3 linked regions of the Arabidopsis thaliana genome follow. The protein of the gene in region 2 interacts with the protein of the main gene of each other region in a pairwise test. Each region holds a gene or a part of one and is shown on either strand. Other genes may lie near its edges.

Evidence for each region.
Region 1: the proteins of CHR5 (region 2) and ASIL2 interact in binary tests that used the Arabidopsis thaliana proteins (3 or more experiments, as listed by UniProt).
Region 3: the proteins of CHR5 (region 2) and HAG1 interact in a two-hybrid assay, tested with the Arabidopsis thaliana proteins (one study listed by BioGRID).

What each region holds. Positions count from the first base shown.
Region 1 is NC_003074.8:4,704,185-4,712,260, reverse strand, and holds ASIL2 (sequence-specific DNA binding transcription factor), read left to right. Parts: upstream 1-3,084; 5' UTR 3,085-3,639; coding exon 3,640-4,971; 3' UTR 4,972-5,459; downstream 5,460-8,076. Other genes in the region: AT3G14190 (uncharacterized protein), read right to left, coding at 471-665, 798-841, 928-1,203, 1,288-1,354; AT3G14172 (GPI-anchored adhesin-like protein), read left to right, coding at 7,488-7,546, 7,628-7,810, 7,904-8,003. UniProt on the Arabidopsis thaliana protein: Transcription regulator that may repress the maturation program during early embryogenesis.
Region 2 is NC_003071.7:5,552,062-5,560,142, reverse strand, and holds the start of CHR5 (chromatin remodeling 5), read left to right. Parts: upstream 1-3,582; 5' UTR 3,583-3,938; exon of another isoform or gene 3,939-4,344; intron 4,345-4,516; 5' UTR 4,517-4,599; coding exon 4,600-5,344; intron 5,345-5,499; coding exon 5,500-5,567; intron 5,568-5,786; coding exon 5,787-6,206; intron 6,207-6,579; coding exon 6,580-6,804; intron 6,805-6,914; coding exon 6,915-6,998; intron 6,999-7,291; coding exon 7,292-7,351; intron 7,352-7,479; coding exon 7,480-7,583; intron 7,584-7,751; coding exon 7,752-7,803; intron 7,804-8,081. UniProt on the Arabidopsis thaliana protein: DNA-binding helicase that specifically binds to the promoter of target genes, leading to chromatin remodeling, possibly by promoting deposition of histone H3.3. Probable chromatin remodeling factor.
Region 3 is NC_003074.8:20,210,069-20,220,270, forward strand, and holds HAG1 (histone acetyltransferase of the GNAT family 1), read left to right. Parts: upstream 1-3,337; 5' UTR 3,338-3,524; coding exon 3,525-4,157; intron 4,158-4,244; coding exon 4,245-4,309; intron 4,310-4,418; coding exon 4,419-4,499; intron 4,500-4,598; coding exon 4,599-4,670; intron 4,671-4,914; coding exon 4,915-5,083; intron 5,084-5,353; coding exon 5,354-5,397; intron 5,398-5,642; coding exon 5,643-5,742; intron 5,743-6,141; coding exon 6,142-6,210; intron 6,211-6,294; coding exon 6,295-6,349; intron 6,350-6,578; coding exon 6,579-6,697; intron 6,698-6,806; coding exon 6,807-6,900; intron 6,901-7,012; coding exon 7,013-7,154; intron 7,155-7,243; coding exon 7,244-7,307; 3' UTR 7,308-7,585; downstream 7,586-10,202. Other genes in the region: DJ1F (Class I glutamine amidotransferase-like superfamily protein), read left to right, coding at 980-1,159, 1,390-1,863, 1,957-2,322, 2,629-2,808; BZIP25 (basic leucine zipper 25), read right to left, coding at 8,017-8,322, 8,416-8,541, 8,646-8,721, 8,997-9,183, 9,650-9,710, 9,818-10,202.

The DNA of each region.
Region 1 (8,076 bases), on a different chromosome or scaffold from region 2:
GTTATGAAAAGGTGGTATAAAGCTTAAACAAGTGGTGGAGCTGGAGAAGGAGAAGAAGGAGCTTGAGTTGCAGAAAATGCAGTCCTTTAAAGCTCAATTAGAGGTGTTACGGAACAGTCGCGAGGATAGAGACAGTGAGAGAAGAGTCAGAAGTCACCAATAGTGTCAAGGATAACGGCAATGTAAGTTCACAGTTGAAGAGATGAATGTTTGTAAAAGTGAATTCTGATGATGTTTAGGATTGTGGCTTGAAACATGACAGTGTAAATCGAAACTTCAGATTCTGAATATGGCACAAATTTGATGAATAGTCAAAATACTTGAAAAGATACCAACTTTATTTCCTGAAACCAGTTACAAAGTGATAGACACAGAGTGATTCATGAAGAGCTGAACAAAAGATAAACGCCACTACTACTATTACTACTTCATCTGAAGGATGAATTTTGAAGACATTAAGAAACAGAAACTCAGAAGAGGTCGTCAGAGTCTTCTTTAAGTGTGAATTCGCATGAATCGAACCGCCAAGCCAGAGGAGTGGAAGGCATCATAGAGCCATGACGGATTGGAGAGCGCCATGGAGTCGAGTTCTTCAGCCAATCAGAAAACTTGGGCGATGCCATCTCTTCTGGTTCTTCGTAAGTCAGATCGTCCTTAGCATCCATCTGAAACCAAAAACACATAGGATAGAGTCATAAAAAGTGTCACTTTAAGTTCCAAAACTAGATTAAAGATGCAGTCTCACCAAAATCTCCATCAAAGACAGAGAGATAGACATTGTTTTTTAAGTACAGTACCTTTTCAATGTCCCAATTGAGATGCTTCTCCTTGATGCTGGAACCTGCAAGTACAAAAGATCAAGTTTAGCACAAGCTTACTCGCAAAGATTGGTTAAACATCATAGCTTAGAAGATCTAAATACAATACCATGATGAAGTAGCATGAGATCAGCAGAGTAGTGATCATCCCAAAGATTTTGCTGTTCTTTGATGCATTTGCTGTGATCATGTAAAAACCTTTCCCCAGCTATATCAATCTCTTTCACAGCAGCAGAAGCAATTTGCTTGTTCTTTGAAGAAGCAGCAGCTTTCGCATGAATCCCAGACTTGTTTGTAATATCATTCAGAGCCTTACGAGCTCCTCCAGGTTTCTTCTGACCAAGTACAGTCCCTTTGGATTTCACAGAAGCAGCAGTGACAGACTCTGTAAATAATAGCCAAGAAAGAAAATGTTAAATCTTTGTTTCAAAGCAATATGATTTAAAGAGAGTAGAGAAAGATTAACTACTTTTGCGATGAATTGGAGCGTTCTCGTCTGGGAAGATCATTTGTTGAAGAGCGTTCATGTTCGCCATATGGTTTTAACTGTGAATCATCAAAGAACCAATTGCAGAAACGAAGATTTGATTCCAGAACTGACGATTTTAAGCAATTAGAAACCCTAAAAAAGGTAACAGAAACCCAACTCGAAATCGAAACAAAGATCGTTTTTTTCACAAAACCCAATTCGATCCTCAAGCAAATTTAACACCACAGACCCCAGAAACCCAGAACGAATCAAGTAGCGACATACGAAAAGAAGAACAAACAATCGCAAGAAGAACAGTCTATAATGTGAACCTAAATCAGAAGGAAGAAAGAGATTACCTTTGTAAAAGTGAAGAAGTTTCTTGGTGAGATTCTTGTTGGAAGAGAAGTGTATAAGAAGATGAAGAAGAGCGCTTAGAGTGTTTAACGGTAACTTTTCAATGTTGTTCTGACGAAATAATGAAGAACCTCCGGGATTAGGCCAAAAAAAGTAAATTTATAGAAGAAGAGAAAAAGTTTCTAGCCGTTGGCAGAATATTTTAATGCAGGCCTAATCAAGAATTGGCCCAGGTACAGGCCCATCACATAAATCAAATTGACGGCATCAAACTATCATGTAAGATAGAAGCAAAACATGTCACACTTCTCTAAGTTATCTTCTTATCGGCTAGATTTATCATCATCCTTGATTAAATCTCCTTAATTTTGGAAGGTTAAATTATAGGTAAAGTGTATATAATTAGTCTAACCAAGGATATTCAACGCTTCTCGTTCCTGTTCCTTATATAAAACCATTATCCTCACATAAAGAAGACTTAACAAAAAAAAAACTCTTTTCAAAACACATTAGAGACAATTAACAAGAAAAACCCTTCTAATAATTTGATCAGAGATATGGGTTTTTCGCACAAGTTGTGGGATGAAACTTTGGCCGGTCCAACGCCGGAAAATGGTCTCGGGAAGTTGAGAAACCACATATCCGGTGAAAGTGCCAACCGGAAGTTGATGGTGGATCTGAAACGTGTCCCGAATTCTCCTGACCGTTCAAGCAACCCCGTTTCCCCTTTGACTCTTATGTTACCTTTTTTAAAAATCCTTTCTGATCCACTTTTTTTTTATCTTCTATGCTTGTGTTATGAGCAGTTAAAACCCTATATATTCATGTAAATTAAAGACTTTGCAAGGTGATACATATGTTCATAGTCATTATAAGCTTTTTTTTATTATTTTTTTTTTTTATTTTGACATCCATAATCATTATTAGCTTGAGAGTATTATGGATTTGTAAATTAATGATTACCAAAATCATTTGTATGCAGCTGGAACACCAAGTGAAACACATGCTACAAGTCTCAATGCTTGCGATTGGTTTGATCTCCCTCTCTTTTCTTTCCTCTCAAACTATACTTCATTTTATCCAACGCATTATCGCTTTCATTAGTACCACCATATCTAATTAACGTCCGGTAATACTGCAGGATTGTGCTAAACGCATTGGACCGTTGAAAAATATTACAAGGTATTTCTACGAGAAGAAGAAGTATCCCAAACTACTTTTCTTTGTATATATATATTTGCTGTGTACATAACATAATGGTCGCTTTTGGTGTTTTGAGATTTGAGAAATATTAAATTTCTGTTTGTTTCACAATTCACGAAGATTATATAAGGTCTTTTTGAAACATAGTATTTCTGGAATGTTTAAAGTTGTATCTTTGACAATGGTGAAAAGAAAAAATGATACTAAGTGATAACATGCTAACGTAGCGTATGGAAAGCCCAATAAAAACCCATGCCCAAAGTAAATAACATCCACGTCACCGTTCTTATTGTTAAAAGAGAGACTAATTCGAATCGATTTAACGAATGAAGCAAGACAACGAAGGAAGACAACTGGAAACTATCGACGGACTAAAAAAAGTCTACGACCGATATTGAAACTGACGGTTAGGCTAAGGGTAATTTCGGTACATCACCGGAAAAATGGTTCACGGGGATAGTTCCGGTAATTATAGTAAAACTAGATGGGCTTTTCCGTCAATACACTTCCTCATCGGATTACGAAGAAATGGGGAAATTACGATACAAACCCATCTTTTACCCCTAAACCGAGCCGGCAACTTTACCGGTGACGGAATCTTACCTCTGACCTACCAATCACGTCATTCCACGTCATCTCCCCGTATCTTCTCACGTCCTTCCACGTGTCCCCTCTACTCACCGACGCCGTCTCCTTCCCGTTTACCCCTCCCGAACAGAATATTAACCCAAACCCTAACCCTATCTCCCTCTTTCACGAGCTTCTGACTCAGATCCGGCGATATCGAATTCCATGGAGGACGATGAAGACATCCGATCTCAGGGTTCCGATTCACCTGATCCGTCTTCCTCCCCGCCGGCGGGACGAATCACGGTTACGGTGGCTTCGGCAGGTCCGCCTTCTTATTCTCTGACTCCTCCGGGTAATTCGTCGCAGAAGGATCCGGATGCGTTGGCTCTGGCGCTGCTTCCGATTCAGGCCAGCGGTGGAGGGAATAACAGCAGTGGGAGACCAACCGGCGGCGGCGGGAGGGAGGATTGTTGGAGCGAAGCAGCTACGGCTGTGTTGATTGATGCGTGGGGTGAGAGATACTTGGAGCTTAGCAGAGGGAATCTGAAGCAGAAGCACTGGAAAGAGGTGGCTGAGATTGTGAGCAGCAGAGAGGATTACGGTAAAATTCCCAAAACTGATATACAGTGTAAGAATAGGATCGATACGGTGAAGAAGAAGTATAAACAAGAGAAGGTGAGAATCGCTAACGGCGGTGGCCGTAGCAGATGGGTGTTCTTCGACAAGCTTGACCGTCTGATTGGATCAACGGCGAAGATCCCGACGGCAACTTCTGGAGTCAGCGGTCCTGTCGGAGGATTGCATAAGATTCCTATGGGTATTCCAATGGGAAGTCGTTCGAATCTGTACCATCAGCAAGCTAAGGCTGCAACACCGCCTTTCAATAATCTTGACCGGTTAATTGGAGCTACGGCTAGAGTCTCAGCTGCTTCTTTCGGTGGCAGTGGTGGAGGAGGCGGAGGAGGATCTGTCAATGTACCTATGGGAATTCCGATGAGTAGCCGTTCAGCTCCGTTTGGACAGCAAGGGAGGACTCTGCCACAGCAAGGTAGGACACTGCCACAGCAACAGCAGCAAGGGATGATGGTGAAAAGGTGTAGTGAGTCGAAACGCTGGCGTTTCAGGAAGAGGAACGCTTCTGATTCAGACTCGGAATCTGAAGCAGCAATGTCAGATGATTCCGGTGACAGTTTACCACCTCCTCCTCTGTCGAAGAGGATGAAGACGGAGGAGAAGAAGAAGCAAGATGGTGATGGAGTGGGGAACAAATGGAGGGAGCTGACTCGGGCAATCATGAGATTCGGTGAAGCTTATGAGCAAACAGAGAATGCGAAACTGCAACAGGTGGTTGAGATGGAGAAAGAGAGGATGAAGTTCTTGAAGGAGCTTGAGTTGCAGAGAATGCAGTTCTTTGTGAAGACTCAATTGGAGATATCACAACTTAAGCAGCAACATGGGAGGAGAATGGGAAACACCAGTAATGATCATCATCACAGCCGCAAGAACAACATCAATGCGATTGTCAACAACAACAACGATTTGGGTAATAACTAGAATTTAGTGATGCAGTGTCGTAATTGATATATTTTAGATTTGAGTCTTTAATTGTTGAAAGAGAAACTGAAACTTATCTAGGCTTCATGAGTGTATTAATATTTTGCATATCTTTCTTAACTTTGGTCATATGGAACAGATTTAACTTCACTAGATTGCCTGAGATCATTCTGCTGCAGACTCTTGTGCACGTTTTTGAACTTCTCTTAATCTCTGAGTTAGATTGTGTTTCACTAGTTAGGTTAGAACATGGCATAGGACATTTTTGACACAATCCAACCGCAAAATCTTAAAGCTATGTTTGGTTATTATGACATTGGAGATTTGCATGTGTACCTAAAAGCATTTTTTTAACTCTTTTTCTTTTGAGTAATTGTTTGAGCTAGATTTTCTTGTGTCTGAAGCATCATTCAAACCACCAATGATGATCTTCTATAAAAGAAGAATGTTAGGCAAGAAACCTTTTCGTTGGTCTGTTTATTTATTTTTCTATGATGTTTGCCTTTTGGCATTTTATAGGTACTAAACAAATGACAGTCAATTCAAATTCATTACACATAGATGTTTCTCACAATTTTACCTTCCGCACTAAGCTAATATTCATGTATCGAAAGGTGAATCATGATATTTGAGTAAAAATACCATCTTCCGAGTCCCACCGTAACATCATTCTAACTTGCACTATTCTTATTTTTTTTTGAAACGAATACAATAATGAAAACGTAAGAAATAAAGCATCTTGAAATCTTCTGAATTTTGTTTTTGTTTTAGGTAGAAAAGAGTTTGATTCCAAAGGTCCACGTGTGTTTAGACATATAGATTAGATATTATCTAATGATATATTGGTATCACTAGGATTACTAATCAAGATTTTTCCTTAGTAAAGTTCAAAATAAAGTTTTTTTTTTCAAAATAAAGTTTTTTTTTGGAACTAAATCTAGCAATAAAAGTAGTGATTACTAAAGAAATAGTAAATTATTAATGTAACAAATGAATATTCTTTTTTTTTTTTTAAAGTGGGCAAGAAAAGATACCAAAAAGAAAGAAAGAATTGGGTAGGATTTAAAGCCATGTCTCCATTATAAATATATAGTTAGGGTCAATTGTCCATTAAAATTAAAGAAGAATAAAGAGTGATATCCTATAATTAGATATTTTTTCAGGGGGTCCATCATTTGATTTAAAGTGTCTCCAAAAGTTGGAATAAAAATGGTTGGTGTTAATATTATTAATTTTCAGTAGAGTAGAATAAGCTCTAATTTAAATACTTCTTTTTGTCAGCATCTATTTAGTACAGTGTTTATTTAACATAATATACATTTTGCACATAGAGATTTTACTCTAAAACAGCGAATCGTTGTTACTCTTAACGTTAAATATTTGGATCTGAAAGGCAAAGTACCAATATACCCATTTGTTCCTTGGCCCATCTGTGGGTAAGAGACTAATTTACCCCTCCAATTTATATACTTCACAGCAATAAATTCGAAGAATAAAAGGGTATTATGGGTAACTAACGAAAGCCGTTTAGGATTCGGCGAGACCTGTTTCCGGAATTTCGTAATTACTGCCGACTTTCTTTGATTTTTGTTTAATTTAATATTTCAAATTTTACGCTCTATTACTCTCTTTTTTTTTTTGTTTTGTCATCGTATACGCTACTTCACGTCAACAAAAATGGTGATTTTTGTCTGAAGAACGTTTATTTCTTTCTCTTGATTTCACTTTCTCTCTCTAAAGTAGATTTTTGACAAAGATAGATTACGGCGGAAGGAAGGAGACACACAATGATGGGAGAGATATTGAATCCATCAGCGGAAGTGAAATTAATTACGAAGTTGACTTGAGAGTTTTGAGTGAAGCCAAAAACAGAAGAAAACAATCTTCATTGTTAGGGTTTTAATAAGCTTTAAGAAGAGGATGCTGAATATAGAAAGCAGAGAAAGAATCTCGACAATGATAGTAACTATTCGAATGTGAATCTGAAAGAGACTGATTCATCGGAAACAGACGAAGATCTCATTTTGTTTCTATTCTCAGGTATGGTCTGATCCGAGCAGGACTTCACTTGAATTTCAATGGCGTTTTGTTTCCTTATTGGATTTGGGATTTTACTTTATGTCTTGAATTTGAATTCGAATCATGGGTCTTCGAGGATTCGTCCTTATTGGGCGTGAATCAGTTTTCTTAGTGATTGGGTTTTCAAATTTCCATGATCGGAATCAGATCTAGCAATGTGTTTGATTCTGTGATTTGTGTTGGGGTTTCTATTATTGTGATGTTGGTTTAGTTGGGTTAAATTGAATCCGTGTATGGACACTGCTTTTATGTATTTACTGATGATACTTCTATTGTTTAGTCACGTTTCTCTTTGATTTTCTCTGGACGCTTCAAATTCCTATAGCATTTACGTTTAGAGACGAACTTTGTTTTGCTTTTTACTTAGGATAAGCTTTTAATGCTGTCTTTGGGTATGTGAAGGGGGAAGACTGAAAATTTTGTGTAAAGGGGTCAAGATGAGACCAGCTATACCTCTTGATTATGCTGTCTTCCAACTCTCTCCAAAGCGGTCAAGGTATTAAAATCAGAGAGTGAATTCTTCATTTTTGTGTTAGTTGGTTTTTTAGATACTCTTCTTGTTGTTTCTTTCTGGCAGATGTGAATTGTTTGTATCTACTACGGGAAATACTGAGAAACTTGCTTCTGGACTGGTGAAACCATTTGTTGCTCATTTGAAAGTTGCAGAAGAACAGGTTTCCCGGGAAGTTCAGTCTATCAGGCTAGAAGTTGAAAGCAACAAAAATGCTGGAACCTGGTTTACGAAAGGGACCCTCGAAAGGTTATACTCTATCTTGAACAAGGGGTTTTTGAGTCTTGTGAAGCATAGGTCCTGGTAAATACTCTAATTTCTCTTGTGCCTGCTGGTTTATAGGTTTGTACGCTTTGTTAGTACCCCAGAGGTTCTGGAATTGGTTAGCGCTTTGGATGTGGAAATGTCTCAGTTGGAGGCTGCTCGGAAAATATATGGCGAGGTACTTCACTTTTTTTAAGTCCAAGTAAAGCAGATCCTGTGTTAGTGGGATGTTTTTATTGATTTTGATATTA
Region 2 (8,081 bases):
AGTTGAGTTTTCGAGAATCTCTGATTCTCAAACTCGCAATTCGCAGGGTGAACGGTGTTCGCCTAGCCTCCTCGATAACCCGGTTGATATCCGGCTCCGAGCTTGTAGCTTGGTGGAATTTCGACCTCATTTCTTTCAACTCTCGACTTACTTCTTTCATGGTTTCGAGCTGGTCGAAGTTTTCCTGCTCGTGTTGATCACCGAACTGGTCATCGTCCTCGGGATGCGTTTCTCCGTCTTCTGGTTGATTCTCCGCGTTTGTACCCTCCGGGGTCGTTTGATCACTTTTTGCATTTCGCGGAAGGGAATTTGGGGATCCGAAGATAGTTCTTCGAACTCTAGAATTTCCTGTATTTAAAGAACGGACACGAGACTAAATAGTACTAACATTTTGGCTAAGCGATACCTGGGTTGTTTGCAGTGTTTCGACAGTTTTTTCCACGTTTGAAAACTTCTGCGCCATATCGGCCATAGTTTGTTGCATGGTCTTGAGGGTTTCGGCTATCGAAGCGTTGGTAGTATCCTCTCCTGACATTGCGGATCACTTCGGGTATGTAACACACAGAAAAAAGCTGATGACTCAAGAATCATCCGTCCCCACAGACGGCGACAAAATGTGAATGTCGGATTCACACACTCAAGTATTTATTTATTTAGTGGGTAGGATTATTCTTGAGGACAAATATACTAGAAAATAGATAAATGATCATAGAGAAAACTATGAGTATTGTAAAAGAATGTGTATAGCTAATTTGCACCAAGAAATGCGTGTGTCTTTACATGGTCTTTGACCCACAATTTATACCCAAAGAATACATTTAATACCTATTTACTCACAATCATTATACTTTAAATATATCCGTTTTTAGTCTTTGAATTAACTATTTGAACGTTTAAACCGAGTCCACTCCGGGCCTTCTGGACCTCACCTCTCGGCCCATTCGGTTTCTCCAATTCGAGTAATCCTGACTTCGATGCTGCCTTCACCTCGCAAACCAACATCTCGCCCATACTCTCACCTCGAGGATGCTTATGGGCCCTCCCTCTTATGGGCTTCTTCTACTTGTGCCGCAATCTTTGGCTGGATCCGAATCCATGGTGCGGGATCCGACACCAACATTAATCACCCTGAATTTTTGTTTTAAATATTTATTTTCAGTTAATAAAATGAATCAAATCTTATATTACAATATATGCTTCAATATTTTTATTAAAAATTTTTAATTACGTAACATTTTAAAAATTTGAAACCCTAATTATTTCCCAATCCACATTTTCTGTTTTAAATTTGCAATTGTACAAAATAATTATCACTTCCTAAAACTTTCTTTTCTGATTTTTATTAAAATTTTTTTTTTCTAGCAAAAATAAACTGTGCACGTATTAAGCTAATATTGCTGACTCAAATAATATTAACAAAATGCCCAAATTTAGGCTATTGAAATAATAATAAAGTTAGTAAAAAACACAAGTATATCAATCTAGAATTATGATTAAACTACGTATTTATATATAATAGTTGTTTTACAAAAAATAGCATTATATATATTAAATTTTTTGAAGTACCTTTTTATAGTACTTTTGTGTTAGTAAAGTAAGAATTTACAAAGAATGTCATCACATTAAAGTAATTTTTTTTTATTATTTTTTAATATTGTTGATATATTTTTAACTTTATAAAACATTATTATTATTTAAAATTTTAAAAAAAATATCATGAGACCGGACAGATTTGGATTGATATGAAATATTTCGGGACGGGTTTAGACTAATATAACACTGGTTAAATATTTATTTTATTATTTTATCATTACCAATTTTTTTAGTTACAACATTAATATAAAATTATATAACTTTAATACTAAATTAAAAACTTTAAAATTTAATATTATTATATATATGAATAAAACATTAACCCGTGGTATAATGATGTTGGGAATTTAATGAAAAAAAACCTCAACTTTGGCCAGATCCATTTTTAAACCCTGAACTATGTTTTTAGTAAAACAAACCCTGAACTAAAACCTGTTAATAAACTTAACCCCACAGTAATAAACTTAAACCTGTTAATAAACTTAACATTGATATAATTATGGTAAAATAGAGAACAATGAATTATGTTTGACAAGATCTTCCTTTTCAAATTATTTAATTTAATCTTTGCATATTTAGACTTGCAGCAACTGTCAACAAGTCGGACACAACAAACGTTCATGCAAGCGTAAAGCAGTGCCAAAACCACCCAAGAAACCTCAAGGACGACCAAGGAAAAAACAGAAAACAATGGATGAAGAGAACCCTATCACTCAACCAATACAATCTTCTCTTCAAAGTTAATGCTTGACAAGTCTTTACTTTAGAATATCTTGTCCCTCTGAAACGATTGTTTTTTTTTGTGACAAATATTGTTGTGTTGCAACAGCTTCGATAGTTATGTTGGTTGGATTTATTTAAGCATGACTCTTTGGATTATTTTAAGTTGTTGTGTCTTTCTTTCAGCTTCTAAAATCCAAACTAATTAAGCAATTCAAAATCATTTAGAACACTAAACGTTTTTTTTGTAATAAATTCAAAACAGTTTTAAAGAACATCATGTGGTTTTTGCGCTAAATACAAATGTCTCGTTGTTGTTTTTTTTGGAAATTAATATCCCATTAATATTTAATACTGTGGGGTTAAGTTTATTAACAGGTTTTAGTTCAGGGTTTGTTTTACTAAAAACATAGTTTAGGGTTTAAAAATGGATCTGGCCAAAGTTGAGGGTTTTTTTCATTAAATTCCCAATGATGTTTACTAAACTAACTAAAACAAGTAATAACAAATAAACTTTAATCACTATCTTCTGATCTCATTGATGACACGTCACTATCAATATCTTCTAATTCTTCTTTATTATCTCGAAGGAATTCTGGTTGCTTATATCCGGCTCTGGTCCAATCATAAGACATGCTTGAGCTTCAGGAGAATCTGGGTTCATTCTTGATCGAGTTTCATCTAGTATTTGACCTCCAATGCCAAAAGCTCGCTCGCTCTTCCATCCATGAATGATTTGAAAGTATTACCTGCATCTGCATCACTAAACTCAAAATTTGTAGATAAATAATTTTCAAAGAGCTTTTGGACTAACATAGATATGCCATGAGTTGTCCATAATAAACTGAAACATGTAGTGAAGAACCCTAATCTTGATCACTTTGGATGCTTCTTCATCAAAAAGAATTAGTGATCCTTGTAAACTATAAAATAAAAATATCATTAATACAATTTACAAACTTTTATATATATTACATAATTATAAAATTTTAAAATCCACTAATTTTAGAAAACATATTATCCTGTAATATATCGCTGATCAATTCCTAGTTGTTTATAATTTTTGGTGTGATCATATATATTTTCAGTTGGTATATGTCACCATGCAACCTAATTTGTTTCTTTCAAATAATTATATTCTAATTCATATAGTTTTATCTTTTTGTGGTCTGGAAATTCAAAAGTTTAACCCTAACCCTAAGTAAAATATCTCATGCCTACCCTTAAAAAAATAAAAAATAAGCAGCAGTCCATAATTCCATTATAGAGAAAACCAAAACCAAAACCACAATCTCATCAACCAAATATTATTAATCGTCCGATAACCCAATCTCTCTTTTCTCCAAACGCTTTTTTTTTTCTCTCACTTCAAAATCTCCCCGAGACCTCTCGCCTTCTCTCGCAGCCGACGATCCCATCCAAAACCAACGCTCTCCGGTGATCGTCTTTCCTTTACCTCGCCGACCTTCTCCGTCTTCTCAATTACGATCTATCATCACCAGAATCCGTTTTCTCTCTTTTAACTCCGATACAAAACTTCCGATAATCCCAAATAAACGTTACGAATTTCAGACTCTTTTTTCCAGTTTCTGTTTGAATTCGATTTCGAAGGATTAGATTCTCCGGTGAGATTTTTAGAAGCGTGTTTGATTTTTCAAATCAAAGTTTGTCAAAACTCTTAGCGTGAATTTTCTCCAGAGTTTATCATCTCTTATGTGACTGTGTTTTAATAGCTTCTTCTCTATAGCTCTTCCTTTGTGCTTCTTCTCTGGGAAACTTCTCTATTCGTATACCTAATTCTAGGGTTCGTTTATCCTAACAATTCGAGATTTAGAGGGCTTTAGGATTCGATTTCGTGTTTTAATCGTGTGGATCTGCTTTCAATTCGTTTATCGTTTCGTTCCACTGAATTGAGTTTGTTGATTGCTTAGACTTTTATCCTCGTCTTGTTGTTTGCTCAATTGAAGAGCAGAGTAGCTTCCGTTAGATCTGCTTTGTTGTGGCATTGATGGAGAGGAGAAATCAATTCATGTTACGTGCTCCTGGAATTCTGGAATAATCTTAATTTTCAGTTGAAACAATGCTTTGCTTCTCTTATTTTCCTGTTAATCAATAACTAAGTGTGAAGTGTGGTTTTTATCGAATTTTTTTAGTATCATTTTGATGCAGGTTATTAACTCATTCGTCTTCTTCTTTTTCTTAGTTCTACTGAGACGTTAGAAGAATTGTGGCTGTTGTCGACTGCAAGGAGAGCGCTTACTTTAATTGCTGATTTCATGAGACGAGATGGCTTTCTTTAGGAACTACTCAAACGATACTGTGTCACATAATGTTCTTGATGAAAATGAGGAGCGGCAAAATGCTGCTACTTTTCAGAGTTCACCTTTGAATGAAGATGTGGATGGTACTTATAGTGAAAGAGGCTTTGACATGAACATGGACGTACAGTATCAAAGTGACCCAGAACCAGGATGTAGTATTAGGCAGCCAAATGAGACAGCAGTTGATAATGTAGCTGATCCTGTGGATTCCCATTATCAATCTTCGACAAAGAGATTGGGTGTAACTGGTAGATGGGGTTCCACATTTTGGAAAGATTGTCAGCCAATGGGACAAAGAGAGGGTTCTGATCCTGCCAAAGATTCACAATCCGGTTACAAAGAAGCATATCATAGTGAAGATAATCACTCAAATGACCGGAGTGAAAAGTTAGATTCTGAAAATGAAAATGATAATGAAAATGAGGAGGAGGATAATGAAATGAACAAGCATCAAAGTGGTCAAGCTGATGTCCCAGCAGATGAAATGTTGTCTGATGAATATTATGAACAAGATGAAGATAATCAAAGCGACCATGTGCACTACAAAGGGTATAGTAATCCTACAAATTCTAGATCACTGCCAAAGGCAGGATCTGCTGTCCATAGCAACTCAAGGACTTCAAGAGCAATTCACAAAAACATTCACTATAGTGATAGTAATCATGACCACAATGGGGATGCTGATATGGACTATGAAGAGGAGGAAGATGGTAAACTCTTTTAATTTGGATTCCTAAATAGATTTGACTCTGTTGTTTGTTTGTACGCAGTACTAGAACTTACGTCTATGTTTTTTCCTCTGAATACTTCCCACGTCAAGTGCTTGGTTTGAACTTCAGTAACATTTGATCTTATTTCTCATCAGAGGATGACCCTGAAGATGCTGACTTTGAGCCCTATGATGCTGCTGATGATGGTGGTGCAAGTAAAAAGGTTTGACTTCTTACAATTCTTGTGTTGGGATACATGTTCATCACAATGAAGCTAAAACTGAACAAAAGAAGGGAGATACTTTCTGAACCATTTCTTAACTAAGTTTGCTATTCGGAAGGATCTTCATTTATAGTTAACATGTTGTGTTCTAGCTTGTTACTTGTTATAGTTTTGATGGGATTTCTTACATGTTACAACTGTGTGGTTGTTTGATTTTAGCATGGCCAAGGTTGGGACGTTTCTGATGAAGACCCTGAGAGTGATGAAGAAATTGATCTTTCCGATTACGAGGACGACTACGGAACAAAAAAGCCCAAGGTTAGGCAACAAAGTAAAGGTTTCCGGAAATCAAGCGCTGGACTCGAACGAAAATCATTCCATGTTTCTAGTCGACAAAAGAGGAAAACATCATATCAAGATGACGACTCAGAGGAAGACTCTGAAAATGACAATGATGAGGGTTTTAGAAGCCTGGCCAGAAGAGGCACAACTCTCCGACAAAACAATGGAAGGTCCACCAATACCATAGGACAGAGTAGTGAAGTTCGCAGCTCCACCCGATCAGTTCGTAAAGTCTCTTATGTAGAGAGTGAAGACAGTGAAGATATAGATGATGGGAAAAATCGTAAAAACCAAAAGGTATGATATCTTGTTACATTTTTTAAGGTTATACATTTTTACACCCTCAACTTGCTTATGTTATCGTGTGGGAATCTAATACATTTGATAGAGACTGGCAGTAGTTTCATGAGCCTTCTCTAAAGCGGTCTAAATAACTCATTGCTATAGTTATAATCTGCACGTCGTACATATTATCTTTCTGTTGGAAACATGTTAAATTTGGAGAACTTACGGTCTTTTGATTTGATTAACTCCAACTATTTGACCTAGAGCAGCCATTAATTTCAACTACTTGGCCTAGAATGAAAGCAATTTCTTTAGAAGCCTTGCCCAGCTACTTAATGAACTTTTTTGTTATGTTATTCCCTTTTATCTGATATATGCTCGTTAGGATGACATTGAAGAGGAGGATGCTGATGTTATTGAAAAAGTGCTCTGGCATCAGCTGAAGGGTATGGGTGAAGATGTTCAGACAAATAACAAATCAACAGTTCCTGTTCTAGTAAGCCAACTGTTTGATACTGAGCCAGATTGGAATGAAATGGAATTCCTTATAAAATGGAAAGGCCAATCACACTTGCATTGTCAGTGGAAAACGTTGAGTGATCTCCAAAATGTACGTCCTTTGGACTCCTTTTTTAATTTTAATTTTGATCAATGTATTGCATATATTTTAGATAATGCTAATTTTTATTGTTTCTTTACCTATGTTGTGTGTTCTTACAGCTTAGTGGATTCAAGAAGGTTCTTAACTATACAAAGAAAGTGACGGAGGAGATTAGGTACAGGACAGCACTCTCGCGAGAGGAGGTAATGTTTGAATGTCTGGAAGATTTTCTGCTTTTTATTATCCTTATATGTACAAGGAAGAATGCCATGAGATGCTACTCTGATGGTTCACAACATGGTTATATTTCTTATTTAGCTTGTGAAACCATGTTTACCACGTAAGATACTAACTTTTTGTTTATATTTAGGCATTATCATATTGAACATGTGCTGCCATAGTATGCATTGGAATATATCAAATAGATCTGCCAGAGTTGTTGTTATGGTATATAAATCTGAAATTCTTTCACTTGATATATTTTTTAACCTTTTAGATTGAGGTCAACGATGTGAGCAAAGAAATGGATCTGGACATCATTAAGCAGAATAGTCAGGTTAGTGTTTTCGTTCCATCAAATTTGCAATCTCATTTCACGTCTCATCTGCTGCTGTTTACATCTATTGCTTTTGCAATTTTTATTAGATTATTCCTCCTCTGAGCTAATTTGTTTATGTTATTTAGGTAGAAAGAATAATTGCAGATCGAATAAGCAAAGATGGTTTAGGTGATGTTGTACCAGAGTATCTAGTAAAGTGGCAAGGGCTATCTTATGCTGAAGCAACTTGGTATATTCTCTAACACTCTCAATGGATATTATTACTTGTTTCCTTCTTTTTTTTATAGTGATTGTGTTGTTTCATAAATTGAGAAGCATGCTATAAGATGATTTACAATTTGTAATTATGTATCTATCACCCCTCAAGTATCATTTTCTTCCTGTCTTTTTTCTTTAGGGAGAAGGATGTCGATATAGCATTTGCACAAGTTGCTATTGATGAGTACAAGGTAGAGTTTTTTTTTTTGTTATAATTCTGCTTGAATTTACCATTTGGCTTTTAATTTGTAACTCTTTGTCCAACTCTATATTTTTCCATCTTTTTAGTAGTAATAAGAATATTGGTATTAAATTCTGTAGTTTACATCTTGTTTTGTAACACAAGAATATTCTAAAAGGAAATACAAATGCTTATCAAATATTAAGAAACTTTTTTCAGAATATTTAACAGTGCTATTATACTTAGACTAGTATATACATGGGTCTGTTTCTGCAGAATCAGATGATT
Region 3 (10,202 bases), on a different chromosome or scaffold from region 2:
TGTAAATGTCTGCTTTCGAATGGTTTTAGCAGTCCATGAGGCTAATCGACCCAACCCAACTCATAGACTATAGAGTTACATCATTTCCGTTGCATGTCTCTTGTGACACAAAGAACTAAACAAGATAAGAGAGAATTAGAGAAGCTATAAAACATAAAATCACTACATGTCACATTTATCATTTACTATGTTGAATATTTTTACCGTTCAATTTAAAGAAATCCAACAATATGCTTAAAATAATTTTTTTGATTAATGTTTCCAAATTCTATATGTTCTTTTAATCATATGGTAATTGATTATTTTCGACCATTCTGATAAAGTTTGGAGTACACTGTATTTTTTTTTAAAAATAGAAGAAATGTATATATAAATTAACTAAGAATATATTAAGTTTTATTGTTTTAATAAAGTAGTTTCATTGCTGCATGCACTCTGCCATTTACATAAAATGCAAGCCTTGTAATTTACTTTTCTTCATTAATTGTTTAAGATTTGTTTTCAATTTTAATTTTGTTAAGAAAACAAATCTTAATACGTTTTTTTATTTTGCTGGCTCTGAGGCAACAAACTTTTTTTACAATTACTTCTTTGTCATCCCCACTTAATCTGGCCTTACCGTTTTTATTTGGCTTCCCGGGTTATGCATAAGAAGATGTCAAGTAGGTGAGAGGTTGGTGTGCGTAGGGAATTTGCAATTAACACGTGTTTATTTTAACTCTCTTCAATTTTAAATGGTGAGAGTAGACGTAGCAAACTAGTCTAATCGCGAACTAAACCACTTTATATTTTTTGAACGAAATAGAAATTGTTGTAGTTTTCTATAAATTATTTTTTAATAATCTCCAAATAGAGCAACGTATCCACTTATATATATAACCTTATCTCTTTTTTTATTGGAGAAAAAAAAAGTACACTGTGATAATTTGAACTCATATATATACACACTAGTTGTGTGTGCTTGTCTTAAGAAAAAACAATGGGATCAATGGCTCAGAAATCGGTTTTGATGTTATGCGGAGAGTTCATGGAAGCCTACGAGACTATAGTACCTCTCTACGTCCTCCAAGCGTTTGGTGTTAGCGTCCACTGCGTTTCTCCTGGTCGCAAAACTGGCGACAAGTGCGTCATGGCCGCTCACGATCTCCTTGGCCTCGAGGCATTTCTCGAATCTTTCACTTTTTCTTCATTTCAGTTTTTTTCCCTTGCAATCGTTCTTTGCATATTTAGTAAAACAATGCGATCAAATGCTCATAATTGGGTGGACTTTCCCCTTTATTATCTTTATCCAAAAAGTTTAGATAATTGGGTGGTCTCAACCCAAAATGCATGGGCCTACTCTTAACAGTAAAAAAGAAGAGTTTCAATTTGACTTTTACCTTTTTACAGATATACACCGAACTGGTGGTTGACCATCTAACACTAAACGCTAACTTCGATGGCGTCATCCCCGACCAATACGACGCCATCATCATTCCCGGTGGACGTTTCACGGAACTTTTGAGCGCCGACGAGAAATGCGTGAGTCTTGTTGCTAGATTCGCCGAACTCAAGAAGCTCATCTTCACGAGCTGCCACAGCCAGCTGTTTCTTGCGGCGGCAGGTCTGCTCACCGGTGGAATGAAGTGCACGGCGTTCGAAAGCATGAAACCGTTTATCGAGCTCTCCGGCGGCGCATGGTGGCAACAGCCTGGAGTCCAGACCCTTTTCGAAATCACTGATTGTGTCAAGGACGGCAGTTTCATGTCCACTATGGGGTGGCCAACGCTTGGCCATAGTCTCAAAGTTTTGTTAGAATCACTTGGCTCCAAGATTTCTAGCTCTAAAGAGAATCATCAGACTTCTTTGCTTTTCTTGATTGGGGTAAGTAGCTTATTTTCATAAGACTCTCTTTTAGACTTTATATATTGGAATTAAAAAAATGGTCTGACTAATACGTAATTTTGGTATATTTAGGATTGTGTTGAAGATTATAGTATCAACGTACCATTTAAAGCGTTTCAAGCTTTGGGATGTAAAGTGGATGCAGTGACGCCAACCAAGAAGAGAGGTGAGAAATGCGCTACAATCGTACACGACCTTGAAGACGGACGGCAACTTCCTACTGAGAAGTTTGGTCACAACTTCTATGTGACCGTTGCGTGGGATGATGTCTCTGTGGATGATTACGACTGCATTGTGGTTCCCGGAGGAAGATCTCCGGAGCTCTTGGTGATGAACCCCAAGGCCGTCGAATTGGTCAGAAAGTTTGTTGAGAAAGGCAAGTTTGTTGCTGCCATTGGAATGGGAAATTGGCTACTTGCCGCCACAGGCGCCCTTAAGGTAATATACACCGTTTTACAAAAATTCGTTTTACTATTCTAAAGACTTAAAAGTTAAAACTGAAGCCGAACCAAACCATATTTTAATTTAAACGAAACAAAAATGTCAAGATAAGTTGCTCTAAGCACATAGGAATCTCCTATGGTTATGGTTATGACTAATATTATTCCAGCATATTGTTGAAGGTTAGTAAGATATAATTCATCACATTTATGGCACCACTTCCTTAGCATAGATTATAATTTTTGCCAGCTTGTTATAACTCATCTAATTCCCATTGTGGCATGCTATATTATTACATTGCAGAAGAAGAGATGTGCAAGTAGTTATGGGACAAAGGTGGCTGTGAAGGTTGCTGGTGGTGAGATCGTGGAATCTGAACGGTGCGTGACCGACGACAAGCTGGTCACAGCCGCATCAACTTCCGATCTTCCTGCCTTTTTGTATGCATTGTCGACTGCACTTGGTCTCTCTGTTGTATTCTAATGTCAAGTGGTGCTTTAACGTCTAATGCCTAAAAAAATAAAAACATATCTTTGTATGTCGAAATATAAGGTCGTCCCTCTAATTATTTATGTACAAGCTTGGATTTGCATATATATATGGGAAGAAGAGTTGCCACACTTGCTTACACCTCTTCTAATTGTGTTTTTTTATAAGAAATTACCACTATCAAGTTGTCATTCTCCTCGTTTTACATTTGGTAAACAAGCTCTATTGACCATTTATGTTGTAACACTACTTCAAGACTAAAGTTGATTAGAGATAGCAAAATCTGTCACCAGCAAATTGTGTTTCCTTGTTAAATACTAGTAACAGATTCCAAACACATTAAATTTTGTGAAGTTAAATTTAACAACATACTATAAAATAAAACAACACATAAACGGATTAAAGACGTTAATGTTCATCCAAAAAGTATACTGAACTTTTAAATAATTTACCGACGAATTGTACTGTTTATATCCGACCAATATAGTTAATCACATTTTAATCACTGCATAAATTTACTCATAGGAATTACAATTACCGAATTAGTTTCGGTTTAAAATTTGTTGGATCAATAAAACAAAAAAAAAAAAACGATGCCAGAATATTCCGTTCGTCGGCGTAGTCTTTCCCGCCCCCAAATTATCTGAGCAAAAACCCTAGACTCTCGATTTCGTCACGATTTTCTCAATCACCTTCACTATACTGCTTCGATGGACTCTCACTCTTCCCACCTCAACGCCGCCAATCGTTCCCGCAGTTCTCAGACTCCTTCTCCTTCTCATTCCGCCTCCGCCTCCGTCACTTCTTCTCTCCACAAACGCAAACTCGCCGCCACCACGGCAGCGAATGCAGCCGCTTCTGAAGATCACGCCCCTCCTTCTTCCTCTTTCCCTCCTTCCTCCTTCTCTGCCGATACTCGCGACGGCGCTTTAACCTCCAACGATGAACTCGAGAGCATCTCCGCTCGCGGCGCCGATACAGATTCAGATCCTGATGAATCAGAGGATATAGTCGTGGATGATGACGAGGACGAATTTGCTCCTGAACAGGACCAGGACTCTTCTATCCGCACATTCACCGCCGCTCGACTCGATTCCAGCTCTGGAGTCAACGGTTCGAGTCGCAACACTAAACTTAAGACGGAAAGCTCCACGGTGAAGCTTGAGAGCTCTGATGGTGGAAAAGATGGTGGATCATCTGTGGTTGGGACTGGTGTGAGTGGCACTGTTGGAGGAAGCTCAATCTCAGGGCTCGTGCCAAAGGATGAGTCTGTTAAGGTATTGGCTGAGAATTTCCAGACTAGCGGAGCTTACATTGCCAGAGAAGAGGCTTTGAAAAGAGAGGTAGCTTATCACTGGATCTATGCTAATGAATTACTAGATGAGTTCAGAGAATCGCCATTGACAAATTTGGTGATATCTTTCATTTAGGAGCAAGCAGGACGACTCAAATTTGTTTGTTACTCAAATGATTCCATTGATGAGCATATGATGTGGTAATGCCTTCCATCATTTGTCTCCTGCCATTGAATTTAGCTTCTAATCAGCTATGCATTCTTCGTTCTAACCTCGTTTTTTATGAATAATTTGTTGAATGTATTCCAGCTTGATTGGGTTGAAGAACATTTTTGCAAGACAGTTACCTAATATGCCCAAGGAGTACATTGTTCGTCTTCTGATGGATAGGTAAACATGCTAAACTAAAGTGAAACATTGACAATTTTTGTAACAAACAATCGCAAATGGTAAGCATTCTAATATCTGTAACTTATGTTATTTGCCCAGGAAACATAAGTCTGTTATGGTACTAAGAGGGAATCTAGTTGTAGGTGGTATCACGTATCGTCCATATCACAGGTAAGGTTTTCGCATAACTCTTCCCATCTTTTGACCCAGTGATGATTTTCTCCACCATATGTATGTGAATACGCTTATACAGCTTTTTGCTGTTTAGAGAGTAGCATGTTGACTTGTTATCTTATATTATCATCAAACACAGCTTACTTTTCCTATAGAATATTTCTGAAACTGTCTGATGTCATAATGAGCATGAATACAGTCTTGACATGCTTATTAACTCCATTGTTTCCCTGGGATTCAGTCAGAAGTTTGGGGAAATAGCATTTTGTGCAATCACAGCAGATGAACAAGTAAAAGGTTACGGTACCAGATTGATGAACCACTTGAAACAACATGCACGTGATGTTGATGGATTGACGCATTTTCTTACTTATGCTGACAACAATGCTGTTGGTTACTTCGTCAAGCAGGTTGGTGTTTCGTATATTGTGCAATTTTTTGCTCTATTTTTAATCTCTCAACAAACTTCGACCAACTGTAGTACATTCCAGAAAAGTAGTTGAACTGTGTTTTGGATGTAATGTTTTCTATTGGTTAATAGGAGATACCTCAGAGTTTCACTTCTAAAAGTTCTGTTTCCACACTTAGCTATCAAGTCTACTTTCTGGATTCTAACTGTAATTTTTATATTCTTACAGTCGTCCACTAAGTTGATCTGTTACGTCTATTATCTTGTGCAGGGTTTTACTAAAGAGATTTACTTGGAGAAAGATGTATGGCATGGGTATGGAAACTATGTATCTCTTAAGTTCAAACTGCTCATTTACCATTCTTAACTTCTGTGCTTTATCTGTATGATGTCTAACTTAAATATTTGTTGGCCCAATTAAGCTCACAAACCTTAGAATACAAGCATTTTATTGCGTGGCTGATTATGCTACGAGAGAGCTATTTAAAACTTGTCTTTATCATTCTCTTCTTCATCTTGAAACTTACTTTTGCAAATAAAAACCTTTGAAATTTTCTTAGGTTCATTAAAGACTATGATGGTGGTCTCCTTATGGAATGCAAAATTGATCCAAAGCTGCCATATACGGATTTGTCAAGCATGATACGCCAGCAAAGAAAGGTAAGCCTTTGAAAATACCTTTTATGTGGTGAAAAAATATCTCGAGCCTTCAGGTTCATCTATACCCAAATAGTTCTTCAGGTTACGAAGCTATTTGTTTACTTTCTTTACTTTCACTATTTAACTCTAGCATTATGGCTGATTCTGAAAAAAATTAAAAACATAAGAAATACAAACTTGAGGATTCGATTATTGAAAGTTCCTCTCTTCTCTCTCTCGAGGAATTAATTAATGGAAATTCCTGTCTTCCCCTATGAGCCCAAAAATCAAGCTGCCCTCCCAAAAGCTATCTGCTTTCAAGAGAGCATAGCAACGTAACACTAAACGAGTAACCATTGTTACATTTCTGTCTAATTATACGTATCAGTTTCTGATCCGGTTGTACTTTTATAATATCAGGCAATTGATGAAAGGATAAGAGAGTTATCAAACTGTCAGAATGTGTATCCAAAAATTGAGTTTCTAAAGGTAAACATCAATGGTTTCATGTCTTGTGGCTATTATTGTATACAATGTTTCCAGTAGTAATAATAAATGAGATGATTTTTGCAGAATGAAGCTGGAATTCCTAGAAAGATTATCAAAGTTGAGGAAATACGTGGCTTAAGTAAGTTATGATTCTACTTGATGGTGTTATTGCAGTTTCTTACCCAAAATATAGACATATCTCCCTTTAAAATGTTCTAGTCATCTCAAAATTAAGATTGTGCTAGTCGCTCCATGAGATCAAGTTGATATGCATGTTTGAGATTCTCCTGCATTTGTTAGCTGTGGGCTAAGGGTTTATCTGTAATACATGAATTGGCTAATTCATGAATTATGGTATACTGTTGCAGGGGAAGCTGGTTGGACCCCAGATCAGTGGGGGCACACTCGTTTCAAATTATTCAATGGTTCTGCTGATATGGTGACAAATCAAAAACAGTTGAATGCACTCATGCGTGCGCTTTTAAAGGTTGTGATAAATCTTTTTTGTTTTGTTATTAATTATTATGTCCTCTTACATATTATGTTATTGCAATTACATGCCCTTTAATTTGACAAGCTGTAGTTAATTGCTACAGACAATGCAAGACCATGCTGATGCTTGGCCTTTCAAAGAACCAGTGGATTCTCGCGATGTCCCTGATTACTATGACATCATTAAGGATCCCATTGGTAAGAAGATATAGTTAAAATATCAATTTCGCTATTAATTATCCAGAATTTGTCCTCTTTTTAAGTAGAAGTGTTAAATCACTTTGGTAACCAAAAAATGGTTTGAACACAGATCTGAAGGTAATTGCAAAGAGGGTAGAGTCGGAACAGTATTACGTGACATTGGATATGTTTGTTGCGGATGCGAGACGGATGTTTAACAATTGTAGAACTTACAACTCCCCCGATACCATTTATTACAAATGTGCAACCAGGTAAGACGTTTTTTTCTTTCATTTCATTTCTTCTCTTCTTATTCAGTAATGAAATAGTGCATTTACTTTGTTTTTCTTTCTCTTAAAAGGTTGGAAACACACTTCCATAGCAAAGTACAAGCAGGTCTCCAATCTGGTGCTAAATCTCAATAGAAGAAGATGGTAGAGGTTATATTAATATCATTTTCTAGATCTTTCATTTTAAGATACTTTCATTGGAACTGGGAATACATGTATACTATTTTAGGCCCATGTATACTGGAGCTTAATTGTTTGTATGTTTTTTTTTCGGATAGGTAAATATTTGATTTAGTTAGATTCAGAATGTTTAAGTTTTTACTTTGTAGGTTAAATTTGTTCTATAAAGCTTATTTCCAACTGTAAAGACACATTTCATTTTACTAAATGTTTCTGATGAAAATCACATAACCAAATTTTGATATCGAACGGGATCACCAGTTTCGGTGGTTTTGATCGGATCAACAATGGTGAAGAGAATGAGCGTCATGGGTCATTTGTGTTTACACGCTTACACTCACGCTTACGCTGCACAGATTTCTTTAATCTGATGAATGTGAGTTGTTGTTGCTCAACATTTCGTTAAAACGGTTACGTTTGCCATAAGTAACTATTGATACATTTGTGTTTATACGCTTACGCTGCTGCACATGTTTACGTGATTACGTCTACGACCATTTCAACTTCGATTTGCCTTAGAAGCACGATAGCTTATACATTCTTCCATCATGTCCAATCATATATATAATATTAAGAGTTTACCGTCGCTGAGTCATACAGTAAATAAAAATACAGACAATAGTTACCTCAATCAAAATCACAAAACCAATGACTCTTTTTCTGGTTAATGCTTGTGATTCCAATGGGGTAGGGTTTCATACAGATTAGAATCAGGAGCAAATGGATTCTGCATGCCTTCACGGTTCACCTGTTCCGGCAAGAAATTTGCCGTCTCCACTCTCTGATTTTGTGCTAAACCAGCACTGGTGTTGGTACTTGAATTTGCTGGTTTCAAAATGTGGTTAGAGTTTGGCGGAATACTAGAGGAAGCACTCGGTGTGTTGCTGAATGGTATGCCCATGTTTGGTCTTGACCAATGCAAAGGGTTCACTCCTGTCACTCTTTTCACAGTTTCCTCTGCCATCTTAACCTGCACAGGTTTTTTATCAATGCAATTAACTTAGTTATTAAATCATAATCTTGGGTGTTTTAAATTCTTAACACTCGTGAGTCACAAGAGTACCTTTGTTCTCAAAGTTTCGATATCAGCTCTTAGAATTCTGTTGTCAACAGCAGCTGCATCATACTTATGATTCATGTCACTAAGACGATTAATTAAAGTTGAATGCTCGGCTCTTAATTGGCCTACCTACAATTGGTAAAAACTTTACCTATAAACCCCTGAAGACTGTTGAAAAGTAAGAAAGACTCGAGAAATGTATAAATGTATGAGCAACTAATAAAAGACCGAACCTGTGTATCAAATTCATTCATTTGTTCTTGCTTTCTTCTCCTAGAGCGCCTAGCGGATTCTCGGTTTGAGAGCATCCTGGGTAATTACAAAAAAAAAAAAATGAATCAGGATGACCTTCGAAAAAGTTAAATATATAGAGCCTGACTGTTTCCTAAGAACAACAGTCACAACATAAAATTGACTGAAACATTCCTCTACTAGATTTCAGTTCTTTCTTTCTCTTTAGAGAGAGTAGAAAGTAGAAACTATTAGGTACAAGCCTTTTCCCAAAAGCATGTCTATATCTATCAGCCTCGAGATTCAGAACGATTACCAGAAACATTCTAAGGTACAAAAATCAAGATTTGTACCTCCTAGCACGCTTCACATCAGTAGGATCTCCATTATCTGCGTCTCCATCAAGATCATCGTCATCAGAATCATCTCGTGATGAAATACTAGTTTGTCTGGCTGGAACATCAGGTTTCTTTTGCGTGCTTGTTGTGGGAGAAAATCTAACAGATGAAGCACCAGGTGAGGTTTGTGCCACAATGGAGCCTAGATAATTTCAAAATAATCCCATTATCCACTAACTGAAAAACATTTCATCCAGGTACATATCACAAGAAGCGGGAAATAAGAAAGCTATCTAGTATAATGCACTAACTTACACTAATAAGAATGGAGAGTCAAAAGGCTAAGAATTCTCATCTAAACGCATAATACTACGTATGCCTTGTTTCTTTCTTCTCAGAGAAAAAATTGACTCGACTAGAACAGAATTAAATATGAATGAACACAGAGAAAGCTGTCATCTCCAAAACAAAGCCTACTTATCTTCAAATTCCCTTAAAGTCTTGAGTTTACTGAGAGAGATTAGCAGTTAATTAATTGTCTAATCAAATTGACAAACAAATCTCGATGAAATGTTTGCTCTCTATGTAATCTAAACATTGACATTGACGAGAGACAAAGCTAGAGAGAGTCAAAAAACCAAAACCAAAACAAAGCAACGATACGTGACCTTGAGCTTGTTTTTGATTGCTAGCTGAAGCACTCGAATCTTCCGGTTTCACAGTTCCCACCTGAAGAAAATCATATCAAATCAACACACAACCAAACATTCCTTATTGTTGAAATCATCAATTCCTTTAATCTGAATACACATAAGAAATGGATCTAAGAGACGTACACGACGAGCAACAGCAGCGCAAGCAAGCTCGAGCTTGCTCTTAAGAATCGCATGATACTGATTAGGATCAACAACAACAGGAGCTGAAGAATCAACCGGATCAGACGACGGAGCACGATTCCGATTCTTCCCTTGATCATCAACAGGGAGCCGTCGATGATTCTGCGGTTTCTGAATCTCAACAACATCTTCGGTTTCGTCAACGGTTTCTTCTAATCTCGAAAGAGACTGAACCGGTGGAGGTGATCTCTCGATTGTGTTAGTCGTAGGGCTCGAATCGGAACCAGACAACTCATTGATAAGCCTGTGGAACGCCCACTCCGATTGACTTCGAGTCATCCCATCCGCCACGTTCTGCGTCGGTGACGGAGTCGATGACGATCCC